Oreochromis niloticus: one gene and its partners. The protein of the gene in region 2 purifies or fractionates together with the protein of the main gene of each other region. This does not show direct contact. Links are inferred from orthologs where the notes say so. Each region holds a gene or a part of one and is shown on either strand. Other genes may lie near its edges.

The links.
Region 1: the proteins of fus (region 2) and dhx9 purify together in Homo sapiens (affinity purification with mass spectrometry; 4 studies listed by BioGRID and IntAct, with this or other methods). This does not show direct contact. The link is inferred for Oreochromis niloticus from reciprocal best matches to the Homo sapiens genes FUS and DHX9.
Region 3: the proteins of fus (region 2) and sf3a1 purify together in Homo sapiens (affinity purification with mass spectrometry; 3 studies listed by BioGRID and IntAct, with this or other methods). This does not show direct contact. The link is inferred for Oreochromis niloticus from reciprocal best matches to the Homo sapiens genes FUS and SF3A1.
Region 4: the proteins of fus (region 2) and ctr9 purify together in Homo sapiens (affinity purification with mass spectrometry; 3 studies listed by BioGRID and IntAct, with this or other methods). This does not show direct contact. The link is inferred for Oreochromis niloticus from reciprocal best matches to the Homo sapiens genes FUS and CTR9.

Annotation. Positions count from the first base shown.
Region 1 is NC_031982.2:34,272,791-34,280,589, reverse strand, and holds the start of dhx9 (ATP-dependent RNA helicase A), read left to right. Parts: upstream 1-4,237; 5' UTR 4,238-4,389; intron 4,390-5,182; 5' UTR 5,183-5,226; coding exon 5,227-5,337; intron 5,338-5,411; coding exon 5,412-5,552; intron 5,553-5,660; coding exon 5,661-5,769; intron 5,770-5,903; coding exon 5,904-6,070; intron 6,071-6,449; coding exon 6,450-6,598; intron 6,599-7,799. Other genes in the region: lamc2 (laminin subunit gamma-2), read right to left, coding at 273-348. UniProt on the Homo sapiens protein: Multifunctional ATP-dependent nucleic acid helicase that unwinds DNA and RNA in a 3' to 5' direction and that plays important roles in many processes, such as DNA replication, transcriptional activation, post-transcriptional RNA regulation, mRNA translation and RNA-mediated gene silencing.
Region 2 is NC_031969.2:32,751,170-32,759,254, reverse strand, and holds the start of fus (RNA-binding protein FUS), read right to left. Parts: upstream 3,323-8,085; coding exon 3,310-3,322; intron 1,247-3,309; coding exon 1,222-1,246; intron 1,018-1,221; coding exon 854-1,017; intron 776-853; coding exon 592-775; intron 1-591. Other genes in the region: uncharacterized protein LOC100698127, read left to right, coding at 7,262-7,326. UniProt on the Homo sapiens protein: DNA/RNA-binding protein that plays a role in various cellular processes such as transcription regulation, RNA splicing, RNA transport, DNA repair and damage response. Binds to ssRNA containing the consensus sequence 5'-AGGUAA-3'.
Region 3 is NC_031977.2:11,768,434-11,775,903, reverse strand, and holds the start of sf3a1 (splicing factor 3A subunit 1), read right to left. Parts: upstream 3,396-7,470; 5' UTR 3,273-3,395; exon of another isoform or gene 3,254-3,272; intron 3,146-3,253; 5' UTR 3,115-3,145; coding exon 3,067-3,114; intron 2,395-3,066; coding exon 2,285-2,394; intron 2,195-2,284; coding exon 1,990-2,194; intron 1,889-1,989; coding exon 1,631-1,888; intron 1,533-1,630; coding exon 1,458-1,532; intron 1,366-1,457; coding exon 1,215-1,365; intron 1,117-1,214; coding exon 920-1,116; intron 726-919; coding exon 608-725; intron 521-607; coding exon 213-520; intron 112-212; coding exon 1-111. Other genes in the region: ccdc157 (coiled-coil domain-containing protein 157), read left to right, coding at 3,441-3,688, 4,853-5,003, 5,110-5,800, 5,876-5,953, 6,070-6,239, 6,370-6,546, 6,645-6,807, 7,134-7,273 and 1 more. UniProt on the Homo sapiens protein: Component of the 17S U2 SnRNP complex of the spliceosome, a large ribonucleoprotein complex that removes introns from transcribed pre-mRNAs.
Region 4 is NC_031965.2:20,537,299-20,544,949, forward strand, and holds the start of ctr9 (RNA polymerase-associated protein CTR9 homolog), read left to right. Parts: upstream 1-4,481; 5' UTR 4,482-4,629; coding exon 4,630-4,674; intron 4,675-5,970; coding exon 5,971-6,069; intron 6,070-6,416; coding exon 6,417-6,656; intron 6,657-6,745; coding exon 6,746-6,863; intron 6,864-6,944; coding exon 6,945-7,034; intron 7,035-7,354; coding exon 7,355-7,611; intron 7,612-7,651. Other genes in the region: uncharacterized protein mrvi1, read right to left, coding at 27-77, 185-302, 2,159-2,317, 2,410-2,470, 2,551-2,615, 2,976-3,156, 3,252-3,371, 3,462-3,480. UniProt on the Homo sapiens protein: Component of the PAF1 complex (PAF1C) which has multiple functions during transcription by RNA polymerase II and is implicated in regulation of development and maintenance of embryonic stem cell pluripotency.

The DNA of each region.
Region 1 (7,799 bases), on a different chromosome or scaffold from region 2:
TGAGGAACATATATTAACTTATGGAGGATCAATACGTCGTTTTTTAACTTTCCATCTTACCAACCTATATTTGTTGTCTTGATTTCATAACGTTGTAGTTTATGTATATATATTTTTGTCCTGGCTGAGCTCTGCCTCTCCTAAACGTTACCACAGTTATTAGCAGGCTGAGCTCAGGTATGTTGGTTAGAGTTTACAGAAGAGACCTAAAGGATGTTAATGTCTTTCAGCATCTTGCTGATAGCAGTAAAAGAAGAAGTCGAGCCACTTACAGTAGTATCTGTAGGTCGCCTGGACGGCGCAGACAGCAAACAGAAGCCCGCAGAGTGAAATCCATCCGTTCCTCATGTTGTGTGAATCCTGAAATCAGATCCGAAAGCTGCAGCTGATGGAAAAACTCCTGCACAGCTCCTCAGAGTGATTCCTTTTAACTCCTCTCCTGCTGCAGGTCCGTACACGCTGCACGTACAGGCCACACTTATTCACGTGTGATTCACAAAACACACACCGTCAGTCAGAGGATATGACGGCTGCAGCGTGTGTGTGTGTGTGTGTGTGTGTGTGTGTGTGTGTGTGTGTGTGTGTGTGTGTGTTGTAACACTGTGAGCCGTTGTCCTGGAGCTTCATATTTACATTTTTACAACACAAAGACGTCTCACAGGACGGAGAATGAAAAATCAGATTTCTGTGAATGAAGTGATTCTGCGCTCTGTTCCAGATGTGGAAAACATGACAGATGTTTCCTGAACATGAAGTCTGCATGCAGCTGCTGAGAGTTCAGATTAAACCAGGCACCATAAAAATAAAAATTTTATACTTCAAATGTCATCACAAGGGCAGGCGGGCGTGGCCGAATGAACCTGCAGGACGCTGGGACTGAATCAACTGCTAAAAGTAACAAATGAAGAAACAAAAACATTAAGTTACAATATTTTTAATTTTATTATTTTTATTAACAAACAAAGAACTCTGACTCAGCATGCGGACGCTGCAACAGTGCAGAAGCTGACCATTTACAGCAACAGTCATGTCAGAGGGTTTTACAATCTAATGTGCGGACCTCATAGAAAACACAAAGCCCTGCGACCGACCTGTCCAGGTGTGCCCCGCCTCAGCCTACTGCAGCTGGGATGGACCCTGACTGGCATAAGAAGAAGAAAATAGACAGCTGGTGTCCCCCACGGCTCAGTTTTAGGCCCAGTTTATCTTTAGTCTCTTATCAGTTTTTATTGATTTTACCAGTCAGCAATATTCCTATTATCATTACATTTAACACTGCATTATTACATAGATCCTATTGTTACTATTATTAGTAGTAGTAGTAACCTTTTTAAAAACTTTTATTATTAAGGTTTCATATTTTGGTTGATTCGTTTCTGGACTTTCTTTCATTAAAGGATCATTTATGAATTTTGACCTTTAGTTTCTGAACTTAAAATAAATCGTTCCATTGTGGTTGGATTAATGCTCGTTTTACCAGCTTACAGAAATCACTTCCTGTATGCACTACTAATGCACTCTGGTAAGTATGTTCATAATACCCATAGGATTGATTTTAAAATAACTGTACTTACATATAGAACACTGAGTGTCCTGAGCTCTGATTGGTAGTTACTCAGTCACTCACCTGTAAGTTGAGAAAACTTTTAACAGCAGTTATTTTGACTGTAGCTGCTTGAACTCATCAAATGTCACTGACTTTATGCGGTCTCTGGTCTCCACATCACTGTGAGTGTGGACACAGTGTAACTGTGCATTATTACACTCACACAGTGTCTCTTATCTATCTCGTTGTGCAGTTACTCTGTGAAAAGCATTTTATAAATACATTTTTCTTACTTTGCCTCCTTGAGAAAACCTGTTTAAGCACGAGGAAAACATTCAAACCACTGAGCTGTTGTGCTGCCAGTTATTAAAAATCACAACCTAAATGCGAGCCTGGCCTCACAAAAACGTGACATGTTGGTTTTTAAATCAAGACTGTAAAATTGTGAGATTCCAAACCTTTTATGGACTTTTTCTCTGACCTCCAACCAAAGCAGTAATAAAGCATTTGCTTAATTTGGGTTTATCTTAACCCTAACACAACCCTTTTCTAAATCACCTGGGTGCTGGGTGAAGGTGGGTTGCTGAGTGGCTTGCAGATTAACAGCAACAATGGGCAGAAAAAAGCAGCTCAAACTGTTCATATACTGTTCATACAGTTCATATAGAGCTCAAGCTGTATATGAACTGTACCAATGTGAGGTTCCTATATCTCAACAGAGCGTGAGATAAAATTATAAAATGGTCAAAAGTCATGTCTCTCTACTTAATGTAATAAATATATGTTATAAATAAAGTTTGTAACATCTCTTTATTACTAAAATATGTTTTTACCTCAGCTAGTTAAATCATTGTGATCAGTTAGTTAAAGGACTAGTTGGGATTATATAAGGAATTTGAATATTTTTAATAAAACTTAACAAAGCTTACGTTAAAGTTTAGCATAACTTAAATGTGATAATTCATCTTAAACCATGTGGAAAGCTTACATAAAGCACATAAAAATATGTATAAAATTAAATCAATATGATATATATAAGATATCACATTAAAGAAAATCTTAGTACTAATATTAAATAAGTATGTTTAAAACAGTAAATATTAAAATATGAGGTCATCTATCAAAGTTGTGGAATATAATCAAGATTTTTATATGAGGAAAAATGATTTTTGTTCTTTCCTTTTAATTAAACTGTTTACTGTAGTTATTATCACTGTGGTGCGTTCAGGGAGATATAAAAGGTTGAGGATGTGCTCGGGGTTAGGGTTTTATTCAAGGTGCAAAAACATCCAAAGACAGCCACAGACGTTTATTTTCAGTCCCCACAGATGAAAGCACATTTCACCTCCTGCTGAGTTTGGAGCTAAACACAGTGTTTTGTGTTGTGGAGCCCTGATTCTCGCCTGCAGGCACATTTTCTCCTCCTCCTCCTGCTCAGGTAGTTTCCATGTGTAAGATGTGTCCTGAGGCTGCAGGTGAGCCAGCAGACACACCCTGAGCCTCAGACACACACTTACTCACACACACACACACACCCTGCCTGCTTACACACAGAGTCACACCCAGTCTGTCCGTGTTGCTGTGCCAACACACCTTAACGCGCGCACACACACACACACACACACACACACACACACACACACATTTAGTTTATTGAGTCATAATAAAGCTTCATTGTAGATTTTATCGCCAAGTTTGTGAAGAAATTGCAAAACTTTCTGGACCGAGTTTGATTTCAGCGCTTGTTAAAAAATCAAGACAAGAATCTGAACTTAGTTAAAGAATCTCCTGGTTTAAAGAAAATACTCTGACCTTTTACCGATTTTTAACAAACTGAATCTCACTGAAAATAAAATATTATTATTATAAACTGTTAAGTCTCTTGTGTTGGAACAAATTAATCATCAGATGTGATCACGCAGTTTGTTGCTTTGCTGTTTGTAAATGCAGAAAGTTTGACTGTGCTGAACCAAATGACTCAGTTTTGTCTTTACGATGTGAAAATACTCTTTTAGATTCCTCTTTTTCTGCCTCAGATGCCCTAAATGAAATCAAGTTCCCACTGAAAATCCATTCGTTTCCTTAAAAACACTTTAAGAGATGCAGGCAGGGCTGTTAGATGATTTTCTACTATTGTTTTCACATGATCTATAAATCTTATTGAGCTCGGTCCTTCAGGTGCTTCAGGTTAAATATCTGGTGCCTTCAGGAGGGGAGCTCAGGTTAACACAGACTGATGAATGTTTCATTTGTCTGTCTGTCATATACAAGAAACATCACCTTCTTTAAAACACTCCAGATCAGCTGGTTTCACAGGAGTTAATGCCTGAATACAAAAAAAATATCAATTCAATATTATATTTTATCCATTCTGTTCTATTTTTTGTTCTGTTCTGTTCTTTTATTCTGTTCTGTTCTTTTATACTTTTCTAATACTTATACTAAATATAAACTAAAGGTTTATAAAACTGGCCTGGCTTTATTACTTTCACTGTAACTGGCATTTATAACTATGAGGCTCAAATCTGTTTCGCTGGTGTAAAGATGACTGACCTCTGTACCAAAGTGTTCATGAAAAGAGAAACATGGAGCACAGCTTTCATGTATTCTCTCCACTGTGTTAGAACAATAAAGGCTAAAAATATTTAGTAAAAGAAGAAGAAGAAGAAACAGAACTTGGTGGAGGACGATTCTCCCTCCGGCCTGAGGGGGCGCTGATGCACCGGGAGTTTATTTATTTTTTAACCGAAAGTGAAGTGCAGCCGGAGGAAGCCAAGGCTGCTAGGCTACCGGTGCTTAGCTGCTGAAGTCTGGAGCAGCTTTTGCATTTTTCTGACCTGACTGTAAGTACAAATACTTCGGGTTATTTATACCTGCATTTCTTCTTAATTTAATCATATTTTTAATGCGACGCGATGTGAGTGGCAGTTCCGGTGATCAGTAGCTAGCAGGGAGCTAACATTAGCCTGCAGTCACGCATTGATTCGGTTAATTTCAGACATTTATGTGAAACTAATTTTTATCTAAATTGTACTGAAAGTTTCAAGATAAGTGACTTAAATTCGTGATTATAAGCCATAAATGTAATTTTACGCTTTGAGGCTAATGTTAAATGCTAGCCAAACATTAGAGAGTTGAATCTGATGATGATAAAAGTCCACAGTAAAAACAACCCGCTGTGCTAATGACGCTGTTATCGTTTGTATCCCGAATCACCGCAGACAGCGGGATTTATCCTAGCAGTGGACAGTAAATGCATCCATGAAGACTGGGTTTGAGTTACTTCATTCAATTTCCGTATTAGATTTATGTTGAGTAAAGTGACTCTGATCCATACAGCCATGTTTACATAAGTGAGTCACTATCAAAGACCCGTTTGGGTTCAGGCAAGACCAAAGTTCATCTTAAAAGGTGGTAAGCAGACAGCAGCAAGGCTTCTACCAGAGTTTGGCCAGTTAATTATTTCAGTAATTTCTTAGATGTGATATTATCATTTCTCAGTTCAGCAAACCGACTTTTTTTGGCAATATTTACTGACTTTCATCCCTCTGTGACTCCAAACCAAATGATGTTCACAGTAAATGCCAGATCTAAGCTAAATATCGAGGAGTTTGACAGCAGTTTATTGTTTCTCAGATTAACGGGTTCACGGAATAGGAGGACCCTCCTGTCAGTCCACCATGGCGGACATCAAGAACTTCCTGTACGCCTGGTGTGGGAAAAAGAAGCTGACTCCAAACTACGACATCCGAGCAGCGGGCAACAAAAACAGGCAGAAGTTTATGTGTGAGGTGAGCGTTCGGTCTGACGTCAGGGGGTTTAACTCTGGGAGGTTTTTGTTAACCTTACACCGTACTCCCTGCAGGTCCGAGTCGATGGCTTCAACTACATTGGGATGGGAAACTCCACCAATAAGAAGGACGCGCAGACCAACGCCGCCCGCGACTTTGTCAACTATCTGGTCCGAATAGGAGAGATGAACGCAGCAGAGGTCCCGGCCATCGGGGTCAGGAAGCTGTTCCTGTTTTTCCTTCTTTTTTTCTGTAGAGATAAAAAACGATCATTTCTCTCACTTTGTCTCTTTTAAATGAACAAGTACGTTTTCTGCCATCAGGTGAGCACGCCCATCGCAGATCAACCTGATGCAGCTGGAGATGCTGGCTTTGGAAACCTCCCTTCTAGCGGTCCTCTACCACCTCACCTGGTAGTGAAAGCTGAGCAAGGTAACGGTAGCATGGTGGCTTTAACGACTCCAAACATCACAAGTTCTTACTTTAATGTGGTGAGTCGAGTCGGATTAAACGGGTTCAGATATTCAGCTGGTTTCTTTCTGCTTCTCCTTCTTTATTGTTCTCAGGGGACGGCAGCGTCAGTGGGCCGGTTCCAGGAGTGACCGGACTGGGTTATGCAGGAGGAGGAAACTCCGGTTGGGGCAGAGGAGGAAGTGACGGAGGAGCTCAGTGGGACCGAGGAGCCAACCTGAAGGAGTATTACGCCAAGAGAGACGAACAGGAAGCACAGGCGGTACAAGATAATTCCAAATTACAGTGCAGTGAAAAGCATTGGTAATGTTAACATTAAGCTCCTTAACAGGAAGTAAGCTGCTCCTAAGTTACAGTCGTCCCCCTAAAGCTCAAATCTGAACCAGAACCTTGGACAGATTTACTAAACTTGGAACAACCAGCCAAGTTTACACTACAGGAACTGCTGTTTCACTCCGAGGACTCTGCTTTCATGAAGGAAACTGGCACTCGGGGAATACTTTTTTTTTTTTTTTTAAACTTCGGCCATTAATAATATGCAGATGCATCATTAGAACCAGAATAAGTTCCCTTTTTTTTAATCTTCAGGTTTGATTTCTCTCCCTCGCTAAACAAACTCCCGCCTGTTGTTTTGTTTGCAGACTCTGGAGTCGGAGGAAGTGGATCTGAACGCTAACCTTCACGGAAACTGGACTCTGGAGAACGCCAAGGCCCGTCTGAACCAGTTCTTCCAGAAGGAGAAAACCAGTGCTGAGTATAAATACAGCCAAGTGGGACCGGACCACAACAGGTCTGGAATCTCAGAGGTTTTTAAACCGGCTGGAAATTCTAAACCAGATCCAGTCTGAGGGGTCACAGCTGGAACCAAAACAAACACTGTGATTTTAATGAGCTTCAGCTGCTTGATAATTCTCTTTAGCTGGAGAAAAATCAGAAGTATTTTCTAAAAGCAACTGTGATTTTGACCAAAGGATTTGATTTCTCAATTTTCAGTGAATTGACTGAATCTCTGCTGGAAGTATTTTGTTTCCCTTCAGTTTGGATTTGGTTTGGAGTTCACTGCCGGCCTTTGGCCACAGACCTGTTTTATTTTGCATGTTCAGACATTAAGTTTATGATTGTACTGATACTGCAGAGCCAGCGCTGCTTATTTTAGTCATTCAGCTCAGAGATAAAGGCAAAGATTGACCCAGCCCTGTCCCCAAAGAGCCGCTCAGCAACCAAACTGGGGAAACACGAACTAATCATAATTTTGCCCTGAGCCACACCAAAGCTTTACAACAGCTTTAGTTGTTTTCTTAGTAAAGATGGGGATGATTGGACTTACCATGGCGTTTCTTCAGCGTTGTGGGAGGAGTCAGAGTCAGAGATGGTGGCATCTCTGTAACTTTGTCAGTGCTCGCAAAATCGCTAGCCTGACGTCCCGGGGCAGCGATTTTTCCAGTCGGGCTACCAAAATCTATCTCAGCCCTGCCCGTCGGGCTATCATAGGAAGGAAAAATATGTGTCAATGCTTTTGCATTCTTTCACAAATGTAGCTGAGTAATTATGTCATTGGCATCGGGGAGCCACTGTCAATATGTGACATATTGAAATCGCGTTTGAATTTGTGCTTGTTTTTTGCTTTCACTTTGCGATCGCGCGAACTGTGTGTAGAGAGCGGCAGCACTGATTGGTGAGTGACGATTAATTGCGCACCAATTCCTCTGACATTGTCTTATCACTCATTAGCTACTATTCAAACCTGACAAGTGAAATCTCCCACAGCAAGCTTAAACGTGAGAGGTTGATGGCGCAGAGAGTCGCTGACCGTTATGTAAGTACGTGTGTAAAAGCAGCAGGATATATATTTTAGCTCTGCTGAGCCAAATAAGACAAGTCAGGGTGAAGAAGGGGCAGCCAAAGAAAAGCCGACCACAAAACGGAAAAGTTATGACAAATCAGACTATGAGGGAAAAAGAAAGCTCAGCTTTATGGTTTCATGGACAAAA
Region 2 (8,085 bases):
TCACATGAAACTGCAGTACAGGCTGTTGAGCATCAAGCATGGTCGCCTTTTTTAAAGTTTTATTTTCTGAATGTTTGAGGCTGGATTTAAACTAGTTCAGCCTCTAGGCTGACCTATAATATAATGAAAAACAGAGCACCTGCTTTATTAGGATTAGTATCATAGAGATAAGTACTGAATTACTGAGACTGAGCTCGGCTTATGTTGTACTTTATACTGGGGACCAGTATGAACATTTGATTTTTATTACAGGAGCTGTGTTCTGACCACCATCAAACAACAAAAACTAACTGCACTCCAAAATTATTTAAAACTAAAGACAAATGCGGCCTTTAAATTATTTTTTTTTTGACTGCTTCTATGAAGGTTCGCTAAAGTAGTCGACCTGCCTCCATCTCCTGCTATCCCAGCATCCTCCTCTCTCACACATGCTGTCTGCATGTCCTCATGGAACAAAATATAAATGAAAATGAAGTCCAGTCCAAACTTCCGCAGGTAACGTCAGTGAGGTTTGTGGTTGCTCCTAAACACTACCCCTGTGGAGACGGGGCTGAAATCAGTGAATTAAAGGCGAGGTGAACGTGAGCGTACCCTGCAGAGGATGGAGGAGGAGGCTGCTGCTGCTGGCTGTACCCGGAGAATGACGACTGCTGGCTGTAGTTCATGCTGGACGGCTGGTTGCTGCTGTTATAGCCTCCGGAGCTGTAGGACTGACTTGAGTGACCATACCCACCACCGCCACCGCCCTGGTTGGAGGATGGAGACCCGTATCCACCTGGGAAAAGGAAACTGATTCAGAGGTGACTGGAAAACAGTGACTGTGGATTTGGGCGGACGCTGGGGCTTCCTCTACCTGACTGAGGATGGCCGTAGCCGCTATAGCCTCCCTGATTGTAGGAGCTGGAGCTGCTGTCCGCGCTCTGGTTGTAGCCTCCGTAGCCCTGCTGGCCGTAACCCGGGCCAGACGACTGACCGTAGCCCTGGCTAGCACCGCCACCTCCACCATAGGATGGATAGCTGCACACACCAACCAAGAATACACCATTTCAAATCTACTTTTTATCATTCACTTACAAAACAAAATTATTTCCACGGTTAAATGCAAGGACTTACTTTTCTTGTTTTAACCCAAATTCAGAATCTAAATGTATTTTTCTGGACGAGTATTAATAATGACAGAAACCTTCATGAATGAATAAAGACATGATTTACATAACTCACCCCTGGCTAGGTGTTTGGGAATAATCTGAGGAGAAAAAGCAGAGAGGGTTAATATTGAAGATAATTTTAATGATAGCAATCAAACATCCAAACAGTGTCAGACATAATCTATAAAACTCAAACTCAACAGTAACTATATAAGACAGATTTTAATGGTAATTATTAAATTAATAAACTATATTCTATCTGTAAAAGCCCTTTTTAAGAAGGCCAGCTTTTTATCATCCAGAAATGAAAAACAGCAATACTTAGGCTCAGTTTTCATGACATGCACTAAAACTTATTCTCTTTCAGTCTGGGAGTAGATTTAATCCATGTCCGGGAGATCTGTCCAAACCGAACATAATTAACAAAAACAGACGGATTTAAAGTGTTTCAGATTTCCAACACTGTGAAACTATTTATGAATACATTAAACACCACATCAGACACCAAATCCACTGAATTCAAATTTGTCAGATCTGTCTGAAATCTTACTTTTAAGATTATGCTTAAAACTTTTGTTTTTTGACGTAGTTAGGACTGGATCGGGGGACCCTGAACCGACAGGCTTCCCATGACGCATTTCTTCTTCATTCACACCACTCTGCATTTTATCATTTGTTATTATTCATCTCTGCTCTCTTACCCCCAGCTCGGTGTTATGGACGAGCCTTGAGGGTCCTGAGCCGCCCAGTCAAGTCACTGTGCAGCTGTATCCTAATGACACACGTCAGCCGTAAGTTACACTAAATCACATGATAATGGTAAATGGCCTGTATTTGTATAGCGCTTTACACATCCAGTCATCCACCCATTCACGCACATCACACACTGGTGATGGCAAGCTACGTTGTAGCCACAGCCACCCTGGGGCGCACTGACAGAGGCGAGGCTGCCGAACACTGGCGCCACCGGGCCCTCTGGCCACCACCAGTAACGGCAACGGGTGAAGTGTCTTGCCCAAGGACACAACAACCGAGACTGTCAGAACCGGGGCTCGAACCAGCAACCTTCCGATTACAAGGCGAACTCCCAACTTTTGAGCCACGATCGCCCCGTGAAAAACATAAACACCCTTATCACTGATAAGCTACTGCAGTGCAGCTCAGTTTAATGATTCGGTTTACAGCAGTTTAGAGCTTCCTGTGCAGGTCAGAAGTATCTCTGTGTCTCATCTGTGTGTGCAGTGAGCTTTAAAACATGACCCTGCATGAAAATGGCAACACAAATGGAAAAGTGACGAGGATATTGTACCCTAGTGTGTGTGTTGTGAGTTCAGTGATCCAATCAAACACAGATACAGTCGCACTTTTATAACTCTAAACTTTGAGTGTCCTGTGCCTATATGTTTGGAAATATGTACACCTGTTTATTTATTCTGTTTTGTGTTTTTCTGGAATAGCAAAGTCCTCCCTGTTAAAGTCGGTTACCCTCCAGTTCAAACACCCAGCCTGCTGCTCCCTGCCCTCAGCCCCATCAGGCAGATGGCTGCCCCTCCCTGATCCTGGTTGTAACGCAGGGTTCTTCTTGTTAACAGGACCTTTCCTCACAGGGAGCCATGTGACTGTTCTGTGTTGTCGCAGGCTCTTTACCTCACAGTATTAATAATCCAGCCCACAGATGCCAAAAAATGAATAAGGAAATGTCTTTCATTATTTTGTGTTGAGTTGGATGTCCGGTGTAGGTAGGTGAGCTGGTTTTTGCTCGGTCTCCGCTCTGATGTGCTTTTAATAAACCGAGGCCAGAGGTTAAAGCAGCGGATCGGCAAAGGGGAGCGGTTTCCCTGCTCGAGACCGCAGTGAGCCACCAGAAACTGGGTCAGCAGCAAAACCGGGCTAACGGCGAGCTAACCGGACCGGACCGGAGCAGGCACCGGTATTACTCAGTTAACCTAAGCTAGGCGGTGAGGCGTCCTGCAGCCGGACAAACGGTGGCGTAAGGCCTGCATGAATTAAATGTGAGGATGGACGCCACGCCCCCAGAGAGCCATTTAAACTTCAGCTAGCCGCTAGCTGTCCTCTGTTCACCGGCAGGTGAAGGTGATGCTATCTTTAGCTAACCGCTTCCGACGCCCAGACACCGGACAGATTTACCAGTTTCTCTTACCGTTAGACGCCATTTACACGGAGACAGCGCCGCTTCAGCCTTTCTCTCGGTCAAACAGCGGGTCGTTGGATGATTAAACCGAAGAAGAGGACGAATCGACACGAAGCTCGACCCACTAGCGCTGCCGTCTTCAGCTGCTGTTCCTCCGCCGGCCGCCAGGGGGAGCGCAGCAGTATCGATGCTGTTTAGTTTTATATCGGGTGGGAAATGGTGCATCAGCTTTTTTTTTCTTTTTTTTTTAAATGAACTTTATTTAGAACAATAACAATGACAAGCTCAAAGAGACAAGCGACATATTGAATCATTCAGAACAGAATCGCACCTCCGTTTTCTTTTCTCCCAATCAGAGGAATACACATCATTGCCACAGTGCAGTTGGTACACCACAATGAAATCAATGAAATCGACAATGACTGAAAGTAAACATACATACATACATATGCAAACACACACATTTATACACACACGTCTACATAATAATAATAATAATAATAATATAATAAAAATGAATAACCAATACAAAAATTAAATAAATAAATAAATAACAATAAAAAAGAATAAAAAAAAATGAAAAACAAGGAACAGAAATAAAGGAGACAAGGGGGATCATAAAATCTCTAAAAGTGAGGTTCCATAAACAAGACACATAACTTAAATAAGGGGCTAAGAAAAATCAAACTCTTCTAAAAATCTATGCAATTTGATTGCTTGGGGCTTATTTATTAGCTTCAGAGATTTACGGAACAGGGAGAGTTCGTTTTTAAGAGCAGCCCATGAAGGGGGGGATTTAGCATATCAGCATTTATGAATGTAATACTTTGTTATAATAATGAGATTGTTAACTAAAAACTCACTATTTTTGTCCTTAAGGATTACTCCAATTTGAATATTTTGAAAAGACCAAAAATCAATATTTCCATACTGGGACAATATCAGGACATGGAGGGATTTCCATAAGTTCTGGATTGTCACACACCCATAAAACATGTGCTCTGTTGTTTCCGAAGTTGTTTTACAAATATAACAGTTGTCTAACACAAATTTAAATCTGTCTCTCATAAATTCATTGGAGGGGTAAATAGTTTTTTGTAGTTCTAAAATGGACTTCTTTAAATTTGGGGGGAATTGGAAATTTTAAATATTTGGTTCTGATCAACGAGATCTCAGATTTGTTATAATCTTTAAAATGGTAAATGGCCTGTATTTATATAGCGCCTTCTAGTCCCTAAGGACCCCAAAGCGCTTTACATATCCAGTCATTCACCCATTCACACACACATTCACACACTGGTGATAGCAAGCTACGTTAAAGATGAGTGTATGTTTTGTCCTACCTGGATATAAGATGTTAACCAAATACCTCCTCAGAAACTGATTATTGCATTTTTCATTAACCAAGTCAAGACCATCTAATTTAATTTTATGTAAATTTGGAGTCGGTATATTTGAAAAATTGTTCTTTATCGTATTGACTAGGACTATTGGGATATTCTGTGAAACCTTTTTGTACAGCTCGAACGAGCAACTCATGTCATATTTCTCATTAAACCTGTTTAATTCAAGTGTATCTCCATTTTCATCCATTATATATGTCACAGACCAAATTTGTTTTGTCATTCTTCCACAAACATAGATTTCCCCCGATTCAATATCACCCTATTATTCCACAATGGAACGTTGTGGGGACTAAAGTTATGTTTAAACATTAATTTCCAATTTAACAAAACTTGTTGATGAAATTTGGAGAGTTTTATGGGCAGTTTAGAAATTTCAAAATCACATACTAAAAGGAATTGGATCCCCTCAGCTTTGTTGAAAATATGAGATGGTATCAAAAACCAGATCTCATTATCATTTTTTAAAAAAGATCGGAGCCAATTAATCTTTAAGATGCCATTCATTATTTCAAAATCGATTGCTTTTAAACCCCCCTCTTCATAGTCTTTTATCAAGTCCCTGTTACTGATATAATGATGTTTATTTTTCCATATGAAATTAAAATTCAGCTTATTGATGTCTTTTATAATCCTTGGTGGGATGGCTAGGGAATAAACTGGATAGATTAATCTGGACAAAGATTCAACCTTGGTCAACATTATCCTGCCGACCAAAGTTAAATCTCTCTGTAGCCAATGGTTTAGGGGTTTTTTTGCATTTGTCAGTTGTATTCTGAATATTCTTTTCTTCGCTATCAGCCATGCATTTAGTTAGCCAAATTCCAAGATATTTGATTTCATTTTTGACACGTATATTGTACAAAGAAGAGTGAGAACAATTGTGGATACTCATGAGTTCACATTTGTCCAGGTTCAGGCGTAGTCCAGAAGCATCAGAAAAGATCTTTATTGTATCTAAGGCCAATGGAATTTGTTCTTTATTTTTTAGAAAGATTGTTGTATCATCGGCAAGCTGACTTATTATTAATTTGTGGTTATTTATGTCTAATCCTTCAATGTTTGAATTTATGACAGTAATAGCAAAAATGATGCATCATCTCAACGTGTTTCTGAAATGTGATTTCTTATAACACAAAATAGTAGTATATTAATCAAGCCATGCAATAACAACATGTGCCGGAACATGCAAAACAGTGCAAAAGTAACATGCCGAAACTGTTCAGACAGTGAATGGACTGATTTTTATATAGCGCTTTTCTACTCTCCCAGATTACTCAAAGTGCCAACTTGATACCAGATCCTGGCCAGACCTGCTTGCTATGTGGGCACTAACACACACACAGACACAGTTACTTTACCAACTGACCCCTGACCCCTGAGCTCCTAAGTGTCCCTCAAACCTCATACTCCTCTACTTCACTGTCACTCCCTGAAAGCTCTCTGTCCTCACTTTCTGAGGACAGAAAGTGCACATTCCCTTGGTTTCCTTGCATAAAAGGTATTTACATCCATGTCCTGTAATTATGGGTAGATTGTAAAGTAAAAAGCATTGACTATGATCATATAAATGCACACAAACACATCTCTACACACATATGCAAATGCACTATATTGCCTGAAAAAAATTGGGCTAACTGCGCAGTGTTGCCTTGAGGCAACGAATGAAAATTAACAGTTTTACTATATAAATAAATTTTAAAAAGTAGAAAAAACAATCAAATATGCTTCTTAACATATTCATGCACATACAAGTATTTTTTTAATATACATTTATTTCACTATAAACATGTAAAATAGTGATCTTTATCTTGTCTCCGAATGGAGATGTCTCTCATGTACTGCAGCTTGCAGAAAGGGGTCCTGCCCCCCCCCCCCAAATATAAGTCACACCACCTTCAACTCATCATTTTATTGGAAAGAGATGTGCCTGGTAGCATTATTTGAAAAAAAAAAGTTGGTTTTTTTTGAAGGGCCAGTGTAAGGCATGAAAATGTGGTTTGTTGCCTCAGGGCAACGCTATGCAGTAGAGGGTTAATAGTAATAGTAGTAAAACAGTATCATTTTAATAACAACAATAATAAAAATAATTTTTAATCACTTTTTTCATTTTCTTCAGAAGGAAAGTCAGTGAATTTATGATGACGGCAAAAACAGTAATGACAAACCTAGTTTGAGAATTGTTTGGGGTGTTTCTCTGTCCTTTAGATCTCACTGCGAAAGAAGAATCCATAAAAGCGGCCATCACTGCATTGAACATGCATGGGTAAAGGACCAAGTGCCTTTATTTGGATAGTGGCAGACCTGTGAGAGCAAATAAACTACATTCAGTTTCATCAGTGAAATTTTTTATTATGAAAATACAGTAAATATATTTTATTTAGTTTCCATCTAACAGTCCAGGAGTAAAAGGCAGGCCTGCACTTGAGGATCACTTTCCTGAGAGAAACTGTAAAAGTAAACCCGTCTGTTTTCATCACCGTGGCAACATGTTTCCACAGAAACAAGCTTCATCATCACTGGTAAGTAACTACAGAGCAGGTGTGATTCCTGCTGTAATGATCGAGCACATCTCCTTCAGTTTTCTGTATCAGAGAGCGTCCTGTGTGGTGACTGTGCTGAGGTGACCACACTTGTGATGTTGCTGCATGTTTACTGTCAACAGGAAGAAACAGGCAGTTTGTTTCCTGTTTGTTTGTCGGGGTTGCCGTGGTCGTGTCTCGGTCAGCGGTCTGGGAACTTGGACTTGAGTCATTCTGTTGTTCCGAGTTTTTATTCTTGTTTCTTACTTCTTTATCGTCCTGTTTCTTAGTTCTTGTGACGCCATCTTTGCTTCCTGTTTTTACTGTGTGATCTTTCCAGAGATGCGTTTCAGGTTTAGGGTTACGTTTCGGTTTATTCTTTATCGTTTCCTTGTGTATTCCTCCCTTCTTTCCCGTCTGTTTTCACTGTTCCCTCTCCCCAAGACTTTTATTGTTTTAGTCTTTTACTGTTTTACTTTTGGATATTTGACCTTTTGTTTCCTGGTTCTGGATGAAGCATCTTTCTGTTTTGTTGGGCCTGTTGAGTTTGACTTTTTAAGAAAACAGGAAGTTAAATGTGCACTTAAAAGAAAAAGAGACACACATACACACACACACACACACAAACTGATGCCCTTTGTTTGACTGATTAGATATTTGTCACTGAGCAGTTGAACAGCTGTGTGTGTAACAGAGTGGCAGGGTGTGTGAATTGATGCGATTGTGATTAGATGATTGGTTCATACCTGTGATTATGTTTACCTTTTGTCATTCTAAGTGTAGATGAATGAATTTTTACGTGTTATCAGTGAAGTATTGTTGATGCTCAAAGAAGCAGGTCTGTTGATTTCTGTACAAAC
Region 3 (7,470 bases), on a different chromosome or scaffold from region 2:
CACCAGTCCTTTGGCCTTGTGAATGGCTTCTATCTGCTCTTGCAGGGTGATGTTGGCCTGTGCTGCCTGCTGTGTACGAGCCATGCTTCCAGAGTGGCCATCCCAGGTAACCTGAAATGCAAAAGAATACAATTAGTATTATTATTATTACTACTATCGTTGTTATTGTTAAACACAGTTTTATAAAAACTGCAGTTACTCAGTGTTTTTACCTTCTCCTCTGGCTTTTGGATTTCTTCTTCTCCAATCTTTTTACCGATGGCCGTCTCTTCCACACCGAAGATATCAGTACGCCTCTCAGCCAGCTGTTTCAAGCTGCTCTCGATATCCAAACCAGGAGCATAAACTTCATCCTCAGTCTGTCTGTCTCTGATGCTGCGGTCTCTTTGCTCCAGCCAGCGTGGATCCAGCAGACCGATACGCATGTGCTCTTGCATCTTACTGGCCGGGATCTTCTCACCGGTAATGGGAGAGATGAGGTACTCGTCTGGAACTGCAACTGAGGGCTGAGGCTTGGATGCTGTTATGAAAAGGTAACATTAGTTAAAAAACAAAAACAAACACGTTGTACAAAGTAAAAACTTGCTCACATAACGAACAGTGTTACCTTTGGGGTCGTAGTCTTTGCGAATGATAACCTGATCTGGAGTTGGAGGCAGTGGAGGTGGCATGGGGGTGTCTGGTGGCAGTGGAGCCTTCATGCCATCATCATCATCATCAGATCCCTAAAGAAAGCAGCAGGGGATGAATCGATTTTGTTACAAGATCTTAAAGTTTTCTTCTTCTTTTTCTTTCTCCAAGCAGTGGGTTAGAAAAGATGTCATTTAATTAAAAGAAAAACATATAGTATCAAATCTATAACTGGTCAGACACGAACAGCTTACAATCCGCAGTAATTAATTACTCCATCCATTCTAACCTCATCCATGTCCTGCACTTGTGTGTCTTGATCAGGCTGTGAAGGCTGGCCTTCACCCCTATCCTCCCGCTCATCATCTTCACCCTCGCTCTCCACTTCCATCTCAACCTCCTCACTCTCTCCAAACTTCTCATAGCGCTCCTGGATCAGGATGCGAGCGCCGAGCTCCTCTGGTGTGGTAGGTGGTGGGAAGTGGCCTAAGGAAGTTGAGATGCCAATAAAGATTAAATGATTGTACCAATATTTAAAGGTGGGGGTTACTATTCAAAGATATAGTTACTGTGGTTATAATTACCTTGTTCATTAGGTTGGAAGTCCACCGTTTCGACCACTACAAAGTCATGCCAGTCGATTTGGGCATATGCTACTCGTTCCTTCTCCCTTTCCTCCTCCTCCTTCTTCCTCTCGCGCTCCTGGTACTTTGCCCATTCAACACGGTACCTTACCTGATGGTTGGACAACAGGACATATTACAAACATGGGAAAGAGCAAATGTAAACGGCTATTTTGAGAAGCAGTCACTGTTAAAACGGAATACCTGGTCCATAACCTCTTTTGGGTTCTCGGCTTCCTTCTTGAGTTTGGTCAGTAAGCCTTTGGGAGGGATCAGAATCTAAAGGATTAAAGGTAAGAATCAAGATAATGCTTAGAAAGTTTAGAATCACCACTTGAATAAATACACACCCAGAGAAGCCCAATCTGTTAAGTCACCTTAGTATACTGCTCCACCAGCTTGGTGAAGTAATTGAAAAGGCTGTGCTGTGGTCGCAAAAAGTCAAACTGGTAGTTCCTCTGTTCCTTCTGCATGAGCTGAGTGAGAAACTGGCGGCCATTGCGAGCAACAAACTGGGCAGTGAGCTTCACAACATCCAGGTCAAATGCTGAGATTGATGGAGGATCTGCAATGAACTCAAACTCGGGGGGAGGTTCTTTGGGGACCACTGTCTCCTGAATTACCTGTGACTGAACCTAAAGAAAAATGTAAAATATTAGTCAGGGTCAAAGACTACCAGTTTTATTTTGTAATTAAAAAAATAAAATAAAGTGCAAAGTGAAGTTCAATGACTTACTTTCTGAGGAAGCTGCTGGGACTGTTGCATAGCCTGCTGCATAACTTTGGGCACTGCTGCAGATGGCTCTTGAGCTTTCCCCTCCTTAAATTCATTGACTTTGTGGCGATAGTAGGCATGGTAGGGGTCATTCGGGTTGAGAAAGTTAAACTTTGGATTGTTGATCTCGTTCTGACGAATTCTTGCTTCAAATTCAGGCCCGTTCCTGTGAATTGGCAAGAATTAGTTATGCCATATACATGAAATCCGGTTACCTTTACATATTTAAAATGCTGCCACATATAAAATAACCAACCTTGCAACAAAGCTGGCTGTCTTGTCAACAATGTTTCGGACCTCGGGAGGTGGATAAATGATACCAACAATAGGTTTTGTGGCTGGGGTTTCTTCTGCTGTTGAATCATTCTGTTTCACAAAAGCACATTTGTTAGTTAGAATAAACCAAAGAAGGGTTAGATGGATAAATAAAAGAATAAGGTTCAAAAAAGAGAGTGGACCACTTAACATCCACCCGATTTTAAATCTTTTCCAACTACACCAAGTAATATTTCCCCTGCTCTACTACAATTTATAACACTCAAAGCATAGACAACATTTTGAAAAACTTTATATTTCGCTGTACTAGTCCACACAGGAGACTAATGAAATATACGGTAAAAACTACCAAGTGCTCTGATGAAAGTAGGTCGGTGAATTTTCTGCGTGAAAAAGTGTGGTTCTGTACAAAACACATTGATTCAAAGATCTGTTTTCAATTTAGCAAGTAACTTGCCGTTGTACTGAAGTGACAGCAAAGTCTCAGCTATTACCTTCAGGTTCAAACTGAGATTTTAGACGCTGTGTGTAGATTTACCATCAAAGGTAACTACGGGCTAGCAAGGTTTAATGCTGCGACCTCAAACGTTTAGCGAAAGAAAAAAAAGATAGACGCTACCTGTTCGCTAAATTCAAAAATCACAGAGACAGTTCAAAGTGTAGAAAGACAAAAATTAACCCAGTTCACAAGTTAGCCGAAAAAAAGCAAGCAGTATGTAGGCTGCACTGCTGGCATTAGCTAACTAGCAGCGGTACCCTTACCTTGTTGTTAGCCTCCGGCTGAACGATTTGAACAGGCCCAGGCGGCATGGCTGCGACTTATTGTAAAACTGGAAGTTACCTGCAAACACAAAACCAACAAGAAAAAAAATATGTATTTTAAACAATCCTTTTTAGCAAATGCTATGTCAACAATAAAGGCTACAGGAGCTAAAAGCTTAAAATTTACCGTGGTTAAACACACTTACTACGTCGCGCTTTCGTTGACCCAATGGAGATGAATTACTTCCGGAAATAACCCGCACAGCATTGTGGAACTTGGAGTACTTTTTTTGGATGTTGCCAAGGAGATGCGGTATCAACAGACTGCACAGTGTTTTTCAGAGCTGTGTCATTTATAAAATAGTTTGTCAGACATGAGTCAGTTGCTGGGTAGTCAGGACTGTATCGAAAGCCTCCGAAAAGACCTGGTTGACCTTCAGGGAGCGATTCTGGACGTGTTTTCTCGAACCGGACCGCTCCGCTTTTCTTCCTGGAAGTTCCCGGACAAGCACTCCTGTAATCTAGACATGGTAGCTCTGCTAGAGCAGTATGACTTTGTGGATGGGGAAGATGCGTTCAATCAGCACTCCCACATTGTTTTACTGGAGTTGGTGGTTGACAGGTAATACATAACAATGACAATTTTATTGTATAGCACATTTACATGAAAACTCAATGTGCCTAACACAGAAAATTAAGAAACATAAAAATGTTAGATGTTTTAATATTGTTATTTTTATTATATGCACAGTGAAAGAAAATCGCGGTTTACACTGTACAATGAAATTCTTATTTTGCCAGTTTCCCTGTTGTGCCCATGCCTTGTGGATGTTTGCAAACAGACCTGTACAAATTAGTGCAGTAGCAGATACTGATAGTACAGTAACAGCCAACAGTAGTGATGGTGTGGGAGAGGGGCAGTGCTGATTGTCTCATTCAGGAGTCCGATGGCCAACAGCTAGAAGCTATTTGAGAGAGTATTAGTGCTTGATTTCAGTCGCCTGTAGAATCTACCTGAGGGCAAAAGTGTGGAGAGGTGGTGGGTGTGTATTGTCTCTAAAAATGTTGTGAGCCCTTGTGACGAACCTGGTCGTGCAAATGCCGTGTAGTGATGTGAAGGCTGCTCCTGTGATGTACTGTGCAGTTTTTATCCCACGTTGGAGATCCTTCCTGTCAGTGCAGCTTCCAATACCACTCTGTAACTGAGGTGATGATGATGCTCTCAACTGTATGTTGAGTTGTAAAAAAAAAAATGCTGAGGATTTTAGTCGACATGCCAGACTTCCTCAGCCATCTTAGGAAGTACAGTCTTTACTGTGATTTCTTGAGAAACTTCTGGATGTTGTGAGATCTTCCCTAATGTGTGTCCCTTGGAATTTAAAGGTTTTCACCCTCTCTACCTGTCTCACGGATGTCTATTGTGTGTATGCTGCTTTATCCTCCTCTTCACATAAAAAAATCAAGAGTTGTCGGTCTTATCTGCACTTAGGAAGAGATTATTTTGCTGACACCAAGCCACCAGTCCTGCCATTTTGTTTTCTATATGCCATCAGTGATCAGCCTAATGATTGCGGTATCATCTGTGAACTTTATAATGCTGCTGTGGGATGAATAGACATGAACAAAATCATTGGTACCCTTCTGTTGAAGGAGGAAAAACTGACACTAATCACTGAAATAACTTGAAACTGACAAAAGAAATAATCAGCAAAAATTGACATTACATTACATAAACACATAATAAGCGTTACAAAATTTTCTTTCCCTCCCTCTCTGGCTGAACAAGACTGCTGCTTCTTGTGCAAAGCTCCAGTGCTTACATTGACCGACTGAGGGGCAGCCACAGGAGAGAACAAACGCCACAGAAAGGATGCCTGTCAGTTGGTCTGGTAGTCACAAACTACTGGAGTAATTTAGTTCAATTTGCCACCATAAAGGTAGGCAGACTGCTTCATTTTAGTGAAGACATAATTAAAAATAATGGCATAATGTTGCCAGTTAACTGATAGATCTCAGTGCTTTATGCTGTCTTTCCTTTTTTAGGAGACTGAACTCAGTAAAAGGCAGATGAAAAGAAACAGTGATGAGACAAACACTGCATCACCTGTCTCACCTCAAATGAGCTCAAGGACCGACTTTTGCAGGCGTTGCTTGTCTGCTTGGTCTTCAACGAGCACATTTGAAATTTCCCCACAGAATCTCGCATCCTCCAGTCCCACCCACAGCAGTCCATGCTCTCCCGTGGTTAGCAGTCAAAACAAAAGCTGCCAGACTGTCGAATCATTGCTCATTCCATGTGATGCGTGTCATCAAGTGCAAACTCTTTTGAGAAAGACAGGAGACGCTCTGGCAGACCTGCTTCAGAGCGAGGGCTTGCCCTCATCTCTGCAGCCTCTCTTAGCAGCTGTGGATGACTCTCTGGAGGTGGGACGCATGACAGCAGGTGATGTTTCCCAGTGGGCCAATGAACAGCGCAGGGACACGCGCAGGCTGGAAAAACACCTTCAAGATGTGCGCTGTACAGTGCAGCCTCTTAAAGACAGACTAGCAGCGGCAGAAGAGGAACAGAAAAGACTCAGGTCCCAGCTGGAAAGAGCACAAAAAGAGTTCAACCAAGAGAAGGAAAAGCTTCAAATAAATTCAGTCCAGCTTGAGTTTTCGCTGCAGAAAGCACAGAGAGTCAATAAAGAAACAGAGAAAAGGCTACATGAGGAGCAACAGCAACATAAGAGGGGTGAGTGAAATTGTGAATAAACATGATGAGAATTCACTGAGATCACTTTTAGTACTTTCACATTTTTGAACACAGACACTATGTCCTTGGAAGAGATGAATTTCAAACTAAAGGAGGAAATAGCATTGCAGCAAAATACCTTACAAGCACTTGGTAAGACATGCACCTAAGATTAATCTACAACCTTTCTTTCATTTTAAAAAAAGAAATAATGTTTTGCAGAGCAAAATAAATATTTATGCTGGCTAAGAAATTTGTTTTTGTGTTAGAACATGAAAAGAAAGGACTGCAGGAGAGTCTGAACACCTTACAAATAGAGGAAGAGGCCTGTTCTAAACTGCAGCACAGGATCCAGCAGTTAGAGAGTCAGATCTCCGACACTCAGCTCCTTCTTGATAAGGAGAAAGCCAAGTACCAGAGTGCCTGCCGTCAGCAAGAGGTCAGCATCACAGCAAGCACCTGATTATTTGTTGTTTTCCACTGGGCACTGTGACAGACTCGCTTATGTGTGAGTCACACAGCAGTACTCAAATAGATTCATACAGGTGTTGTTTGGTTGTGTAATCCAGTCAGTGCAGGCAAAGCAGAAGTCTTTGTTAGAGAGAGTCGACGCTCTCGACGAAGAGTGTGAAGAGCTACAGAGGCAGCTGGGGGAGAGAGAGGAGAGGCAGATCGGCCTACAGAGTCAGCTGCAACAGATGTCAGAGGAGAAGGAAGAACTGCGAGCTCAGCTCACTCAACAGCAGGTAGATCAGAGCTCTAAAATGCACTTTACCCATAATAATACCCAAAGAAGACATGTTTTAATGTAGTAGTATATTCTGCTATATTTTTTCCCCATCAGGACCTGTGTTCGAAGCTCCAAAATGAGAAACAGACCCTACAAACACACACAGATGAGCTAAAAAACTTCGTGGATGAGTTGAAGGAATATGTGCAAGCTTTGAGAGAGAGGGAGAGGCTGTTGGTGGCTTTCCCAGAGCTCAGCCCACTGGCTCAACCACAGAGTAGGCCGTTATGAACTACCTACTAACATTACCTGCGTGTATGCAAATAGATGTGGCTTTGCACCTGTCAAGCACTAGTCGACTGCAGCTATTAATACTTTGGAAAGCACAGAGTGCTAGTTTGACAAACTTGGAATTATAAGATCACAAGAATGACCCTGTGCACTTACAGATGGAAGAGACAGTAAATCAGAAAAATCCGTGCACATTAAAGTATTACTCTTGTCTTCAATCTTGTCATTTTTTTCTTAGTTTCTTGGGGTTTTTTTGAGTATGATAATCATGTAGAGTTAATGACTATTTCTAATTTTATTCCATGTAAAAAGGTACAGGAAATGTGCTTCTGGATATGCAGCAGCAACTGCAAGCAAATAGCATTCGTATAAAGGTTTTGGAGCAGGAAAATTCCACCCTTCTTAGAAGTCTGGAGAAACTGGGAGAAAGAGCACAACATAATGCAAGCAGGGTAAGTCATTAGGTAGGATTCTTGTGATGCTGCATAAATAAAAAATGCATGAATAGACGTATATCATGGATGAATAAACAACTTCAAACAGGGTTTTGTGGTTGTTATTTGCTGAACATTATATATATGCATTTTTAACAGGAAGCCTCCACTCAGCAGACATGGACTGCTTCTCTGCCCAACACACCAACAGAAAA
Region 4 (7,651 bases), on a different chromosome or scaffold from region 2:
GGGCATATTTTTAAGATGTACATTACCTTGTCTTCAAGCCTTTGAATATCACTCTGAAGACATTCAACCTCATTGCTCTGAAGACCAAAAAAAAAAAAAAGACTTAAATGTAAATAGTTGCCATATAAAATAAGCCAAACGCAGCAGAAAGTTTCACTGTGGGACTGCTGAGAGTTTGACATACCAGTTTGGAGCAGCTATTCTGGGTCCGACTGGCTTTCTCCCGGGCCTCTTTAAATGCTTGACGTGTCTCCTCCAGTTCTTCTGTCAGAGATCTAACTCTCACTGCTGACCTCTGAGCACTGCACACGACAAACAAACCAAGACAAACAAATTACAAGGTAATTACATGACCGACTACATGAAAAAAGATACTGACAAGAACAGACCAAATAATTAATAAACTAATAAATGTATGTCTATGAGACGATTCCTTAAGTAAAAGTTTGAAAGGCCTATTTGTGCCATTTGGAGTAAGTAACTGATGTTTATTCTGTATTTTTTAAGAAATGGGCTTGTTATATATGTGTGGTGGGTGGAATGATTGTGCAGCATACATTTCTTATGGCTTTAAATTTTTAAGAAAAAAGAATTGGATTTTGAATTTTTTTAAATTTTATTTTGAATTTTCTCAAATCCACACGACGTCTCATTAGTGATCACGATTGACTACAACTGGTAGTTTCTCTTTATCAGCATAAAAAGGGTTTGTTTTACAGCACTCATTGGGCTGACCAATACTCAGAACAATGGTTAAAATCCAAATAACTTGGTGAAAATTTCTTGGAGCTATTTCTTAACAATTCAACCACTTTGCCGAGGTCTGGAAGAAGACCCAAACTGTCACCCTCAGATGAGAGGAAATTGGTTGGGATGTTCAGGAACAACCCAGGGACCATCAAGACTCAAGCCTGCAGTGAACTGGAAATAGCGGGAACACAAGCATCACTGTCCACAGTAAACCTAATTTTAATCAGCATGGACTGAGAGGGTGTCGACCAAGAAACAAGGCCCTGCTTCAGAATCAACACCTTCAAGCACAACTAAAATTTGCAGCTGCTCACATGGACAAGCCAAATGTCTTTGGAAAAGTTTTATGGTCAAATGAGACAAATATTGCACTATTTGGTCACAATAAAAAAGGTATGTTTGGAGGAAAGGTGAGGCTTTCAAACTTCACAGCACTGCAGCAACTATCTTGCATGGTGGTGGTAGCGTCATGCTCTGGGGCTGTTTTGCTGCCAGTGGTGCTGATAGTGGAAAGTGGATTAAATGATGAAGAAGGAGGACTACCTATAAACTCTTCAACTTCACCTCAAATCAACAGCTACAAGGTTGAAACTTGGACAGAGTTCGGTGTTCAAACAGGACAGTGATCCCAAACAGACATCAATACTGCTTTTGGAATGGATAAAACAGGCTAACATTAAGCTTCTGGTCTTCCGAAAGCGATGACCTCAAACCTATTGAAAATTTATGACTACACTCCAAAATGAAATCAGTCATTTTAAATTAACTCCAGCAGTTCTGCCAAGAAGAAGTCAAATCTCCATCCAGAATTTTATCAGAAGCTTGTTGACGGCTACCAAAAGAGTCTGGCAAGTCACCTTCACTTCATCCCTTCCACCAATTTAAATTAACTCTGCCCATTCTGCCAAGAAGAATAGTCAAATATCCTGCCAGAAGCTTGTTGATGCTTATTAAAAGAGTCATTTGAGGTGAAACTTGCTAAGGGACGCTTAACCAAATATTAATGGCGGTGTATGTACATGTATTTAGAGCCTGTATATATTATTTTGCCCCTGTATGGATTCGAGAAAGTCTAAAGAAATTAAAGATGCATGCTGTACAATCATTTCACCCTGAAGAAAAACAGTACAGAGAATAAAATATATGTGTTGTCCAAACCAGAGTGCACCTATATCAAATATGTGCAGTCTATAATGACTGCTATTGGTATTTCTGCTCGTTTTTAGTCATTAGACGTTTATTACATTGTTACCGATCACAGTTTGTCACTTTAGAAGTGCACATACATGATATGATATAGTTTACTTGAATAATAAAACAATCTGCTTTTGCTGGAAGTTATTACAGTAGTGTAATCTTACATGCTAGGACTGCAGTTAACTGTGGAAGAAATGAGTTTATCCTTCACCTGATGAGCTTTGCTCGCAGCTCAGTGATCTCCAGAGTGAGCTGCAGGTTCGTGTCTTCACATTGAGCAACAGTCCTCAGCAGACTACTGTTCTGCTCACTCAGTTTGCGGTTGGCATGCTTCAGTTCAGCCACTGTACCTGACAGGTCTTTTCCATCGCTGAAGCCAAAGAAATGGTTACTAATGTGTAAAATCAAACTGGTTAGGGAGGTAAACATAAACAATGGTTAAACTAGAAAAAAATATCCAACCAGAAACACCGCTGGCCTTCTGATGACGTCTCTTCGCTTTGACAAAATGACAAACCCAGCCCTGAAAGGAAATGAGGAGTAATGAATTGTTTCATATTTAATAAACTGAGTCTCAAAACAGAATAAAACCTGGAAACATACCATTTGCATTTACAGGCTCTTCAGATGTGTTTGGCCGAGGTACATGGCTGCTGTCCTCATCAGTACTGTAACACAGGAAAACTGAGTGATATCACAGCTGATTAATAAAATGTTTAATTGATAGAAAAGTAGGCAATACATTTAACTGGACATGCCCTGCTATGTTTGTAAAAAAGATAAAATGTGATGGACATTGTAGCAGACCATCTTCACTTCATCCCTTCATATTTAAATTATTCTTCCTCTTGCTTTAAATGACTACATGCAAAAGTAATTATTTAAAGTGGAGCTAACTTTAAAAAAAGTCAAAATAAAAATATATTGTTAGGAACTTTAATCTATAGTAACAAAATATTTAATTAGATATGAAGTTTATAGATGTTATGTAAAGGTTGCAGGTCCCTTGTGTACAGTTTCAGTCTCACCTGTCCTCGCTGCACTGGGTGATCCACGCCCTCATGGTGGAGTGAAACGTCTCTCTGCTCACATGTGGGTCCTGACAGTCAGGGTCGAGCAGCCGTTGCAGGGCAGCCAGTCTGTCCTGCCCTGGGCTCTGAGCAGTCATGGTGTGCAGGTACTCGAAAATGGTGGAGGCTAACACTTCTCCTGAAGGCAAGAGGGGAAAAGGAGGAAATGAAAAAGACGTCACACCATTACTGCACCGTTTTTTTGTCTAAATGAAATTCGGTCCATCTGTATACCTGACTTGCTGCTATTACACGTATCATACACGATGTCAAGGAGTTCATGTTCAGAGAATCCGCTTGTATCTTTGCTGTCCTCAAACACATCGTTCATCCCACAGCCAGATGTCTCCCACACTTTACATGTAAAGAGCCAAATGTTAGAAAACGAAATGAATATGCTGTATACTTGTTTGATACTAATACTGGATAAATTGAAACACTCACCATTATTGCCGTCAGACATTGTATTTGTTTCTCCTGAAGCCACAGAGAGCAACTATGCTGGACAGTCATGTCCCTGCATGACCTGAAATTTAAATAAACAAATGCATTTTAAACTCTGTGCATTGTGTCTGGAGGCTAAAACTAACAGACTAATATCATAAAATTGAACATAAATTGGAATTAAGTATTATCCTTGATGCAAATTGGAACATAGATTATTTTTAGAAACTAAATGTAACCAGTCTTCATAAAAATGAGTTAAAAAAAATGCAGGTTTTCAGACAGTACAGTTGTGTTAAAGAACTTTCACATGAACCAAATTTCCACCTCTGAAGATTCCTGCAGGGAAGACAATTCATATGGTTTACAGTCAGACTGGAAGACACATATGTTTTTGGTCTTATCTCACATAGCCTTTAAACATTTATTTTTAAACAGAAACAAGTCAGAAAAAAATCTTACTTTTCAGTCCGGACAGGTTTTCTGCAAAGAAAATTTTTCAGTAAGAAGCATCACCTTATTGTTTGTCTTCTACTCTTTAATACTGAAATACTGTGAAGTCTTCAAGGTGCTTCTTTGGTTTTCAGTACTCACATCAAAACCAGCTGACATCCCCTCAGCCTCCCTCCCTTCACCCTCATCCACACCCTCCTCCCACTGCTTGCCAAAATGCAGCTCTGGAGAGGTTTGTGACAATGATGCACACCGTAAATTTAAATTGGAAGTCACACGTTTAACACATCAAATGCACAGTCTCCCGTTTGAATTCAGCAAATGTAGGAAGTAAAATCCCACTACCTTCCAGTGTCAGTGTGTGTGTGTTGCAGATTATTCCCAATAAAACGCTATTGTTTTATTGTATTGTAAGTGATGGCTCTCCCATTGTTAACTAAATTCAGTTTGTAAGCAAGCTGATACGATGTCCCGTCTTTTTTGTGGCAGTTTCTCTTTGAGTTATAGCAATAACTGTATTGTTTTCTACAGTCATTGAGTTATAGTGTTTATGGTTTCTGCCCGGACATAATTTCAGTTGCGCCATCCGTGTGTTTCGGAAGCATGAAGTAGCTACCAGCAGACAACGGGTGGAAGAAATTGTATTTTTATTTTTATTTTTACAATTTTTTTTTAGATAAATCTAACTTCGAGTGGTTTTGGTTATTCTTTCAAGATGTCTCGAGGCTCTATCGAGATCCCTTTACGGGACACAGATGAGGTAAATCCTTCCGTGAACCTGTTTTCACTAAGAGGATCTAGCTGTGCTGTTAGCCGTTTAAGCTAACTGCGGCTAGCCTGAGCTGATATTATGTGTCTGCTTACACAGTGGCATTGTAACGAAAACGTGGTGTATTTGTTTGCAATCTGGAGTTTAAACATAGTGAAATTTTGATGCTTGTCAGCTGTTCAACTCCTTAAATATGCGTTCAGGCGCCTGTGCAAAGCTTACTTATCGCGATGTTTTGTCGTCGCCGCTCTCAGTGATGCAGTAAACATTAAATTCTACTGAGGTGTTTTCTACTTAATTTAAGAGCCTAATATGCGTTGTGGTATTTCAACACATCACCGAATTTGTGACAGATGTGTTTTAGTTGCAGGCAGTCGGTTGCATTAGTGTTTAGGCTGCGTTAGGAGTGGACAAAATATTAGAAACATATGCCAGGAATAGTCCCTTATGAAGACTTTTACATTGAATTGTTTTTAAAATTGGTGAAACAAGCATTGATCAGTATAACCAACAAATTTATTGAACCTTGTAAGCATTCGCAGCAGCTGAGTTTTCTATTAAACTGTATAGGTCAGGTGAAATCTACCTAACAAACTGTCGCTGAAGAATTAAATGCAAAATGTTTGTTTTGTTAAATACATTTTATTAAAATAGAAAATATGCAAGAGAGAAGATGGAAACCATTTTTTAAAGTAAAAATATAAGTACACACTTAATGTAAAATTAAAATCAAATATTCCAAAGTTAAAGCAACACTATGTACAGTACAGAGTTATAAAGTCTGATGGCCACAGGGAGGCATGGTTATCAGTCTCTGGGTTCTGTGCATAGAGGATGACACTGGCCACCACAGACTCGTAAAAGATCGGGAGCATCATCCCGTAAGTATTAAAGTTCCTCAGACATTGCTCATTAGACAGTAAAGACAAATTTGATTCTCCTTGTAGAGGACTTCTGTGTTTTTAATCAGTGTAAACACCGAGGTATTTGTATTCCCCCATCGTCTCCACACAGACCCCATGGATGGAAATGGGGGTCGCTGGAGTTCTCGGCCTATTCATGCCGTCTTTGCCACATTAACATGCAGATGGTTTTCTTGCAGCACGTAACAAAGTTTCCAGTTTCTAATTCATAACACTCTGAAGTGATACATGTGTCAGGATTTGCACTACTATTACAATAAAATAATATAATGCACATATAATCTGCATAGATATGTCTTTCCACTGGCAACACCATGCATGCTGAGGTACTTACTGTAATAACATACATATTTGTGTTTTCCAGGTCATCGAGCTCGACTTCGACCAACTTCCTGAAGGAGATGAGGTCATCAGTATCTTGAAGCAGGAGCACACGCAGCTGCACATTTGGATTGCTCTGGCGGTGAGTCGATACATCAGCCTTAGACTTTGTGGTTTTTGTTCTGCAAATAATAATTAGGCTCTCTTTTCAGTTTATCCCAAACATCAATGTGACAGCTCACAGTATTTTATTTTCTCAGCCCAAAATAGAAATGTAGATGCGACAGAGAAGCAAAATCGCACATTTGAGAACCAGAAAATTTCAATAAGTGACCTTAAAATAAACAGTACATTTCTTGTCGATCAGGTAGTTGTTAGATTGAGATTAAGTACTGCACTAACTGATGTGTGTCTAGATGTTAATTTGATGAAACAAACAATGTGAAATTCCAATCGAGTGTGACAGTTTTCTTTCTATTTCTTCTTAAGTTGGAGTACTACAAACAGGGCAAAACAGAGGACTTTGTAAAGCTTTTAGAGGCAGCACGTATTGATGGAAACCTCGACTACAGAGACCACGAAAAAGACCAGATGACCTGTCTGGACACACTGGCAGCTTACTATGTCCAGCAAGCACGTAAAGAGAAAAACAAAGATGCCAAGAAGGAGCTCATCACACAGGCTACGCTCCTGTATACTATGGCAGACAAGATCATCATGTATGATCAGGTAGGAAAAAAAGTCTATCATAGCAGGTGATAAATGAGCTTATTTTTCTTGCATTTTGAGTAAATCGAACCTGCTGTTGTCTCAATCAGAACCATTTGTTGGGAAGAGCCTGTTTCTGCCTGCTGGAAGGAGACAAGATGGACCAGGCTGATGCTCAGTTCCACTTTGTCCTCAACCAGTCCACCAATAACATCCCTGCTTTGCTTGGTAACGTGAACATGAAACAGTGTAGGATTGAAATGGACTACATTGATTGACTGAAGTAATAACAATGTTGTTGTTAAACAGGTAAGGCTTGCATCTCCTTCAATAAAAAGGATTACAGAGGAGCGCTGGCGTACTACAAAAAGGCTCTGCGTACAAACCCCGGCTGCCCAGGTAAACCAATAACATGTAATGTCTTTAAACACTCCCCGCATGCCTGTATTTCATTTATTATTGTTGTTATTATCATCATCAATATTATGATGAAAATATTATTGTTGCAGCAGCAACAAGAGACAGTATGTTCATGTTTTATGTGGCAAAGATATGTAGGTGATGAGCCACTTCATTGTTAACTTAAACATAAATACAATTTATGAACAGAAGATCCTTGATTTTAAAAACACAGGACCACAGATAATATATTTGCCCTTCACTCATATTGGTTATAAAATCAATGTTCCCAACTTGTTTTTTGTCTTGTTTTTGTGTAGCTGAGGTGAGGCTGGGGATGGGCCACTGTTTCGTCAAGCTCAACAAACTGGAGAAGGCTCGTTTGGCTTTCGGTCGAGCCCTGGAGCTTAACTCAAAGTGTGTGGGAGCGCTCGTTGGTTTGGCTGTTTTAGAGCTCAACAACAAAGAGGCAGACTCCATCAAGAACGGAGTGCAGCTTCTTTCGCGGGCCTACACCATCGACCCCAGCAACCCCATGGTACTCAACCACCTCGCCAACCACTTCTTCTTCAAAAAGGTAATCACGGCTGTGTTGTTGAAATGCGGTGAAAATATAA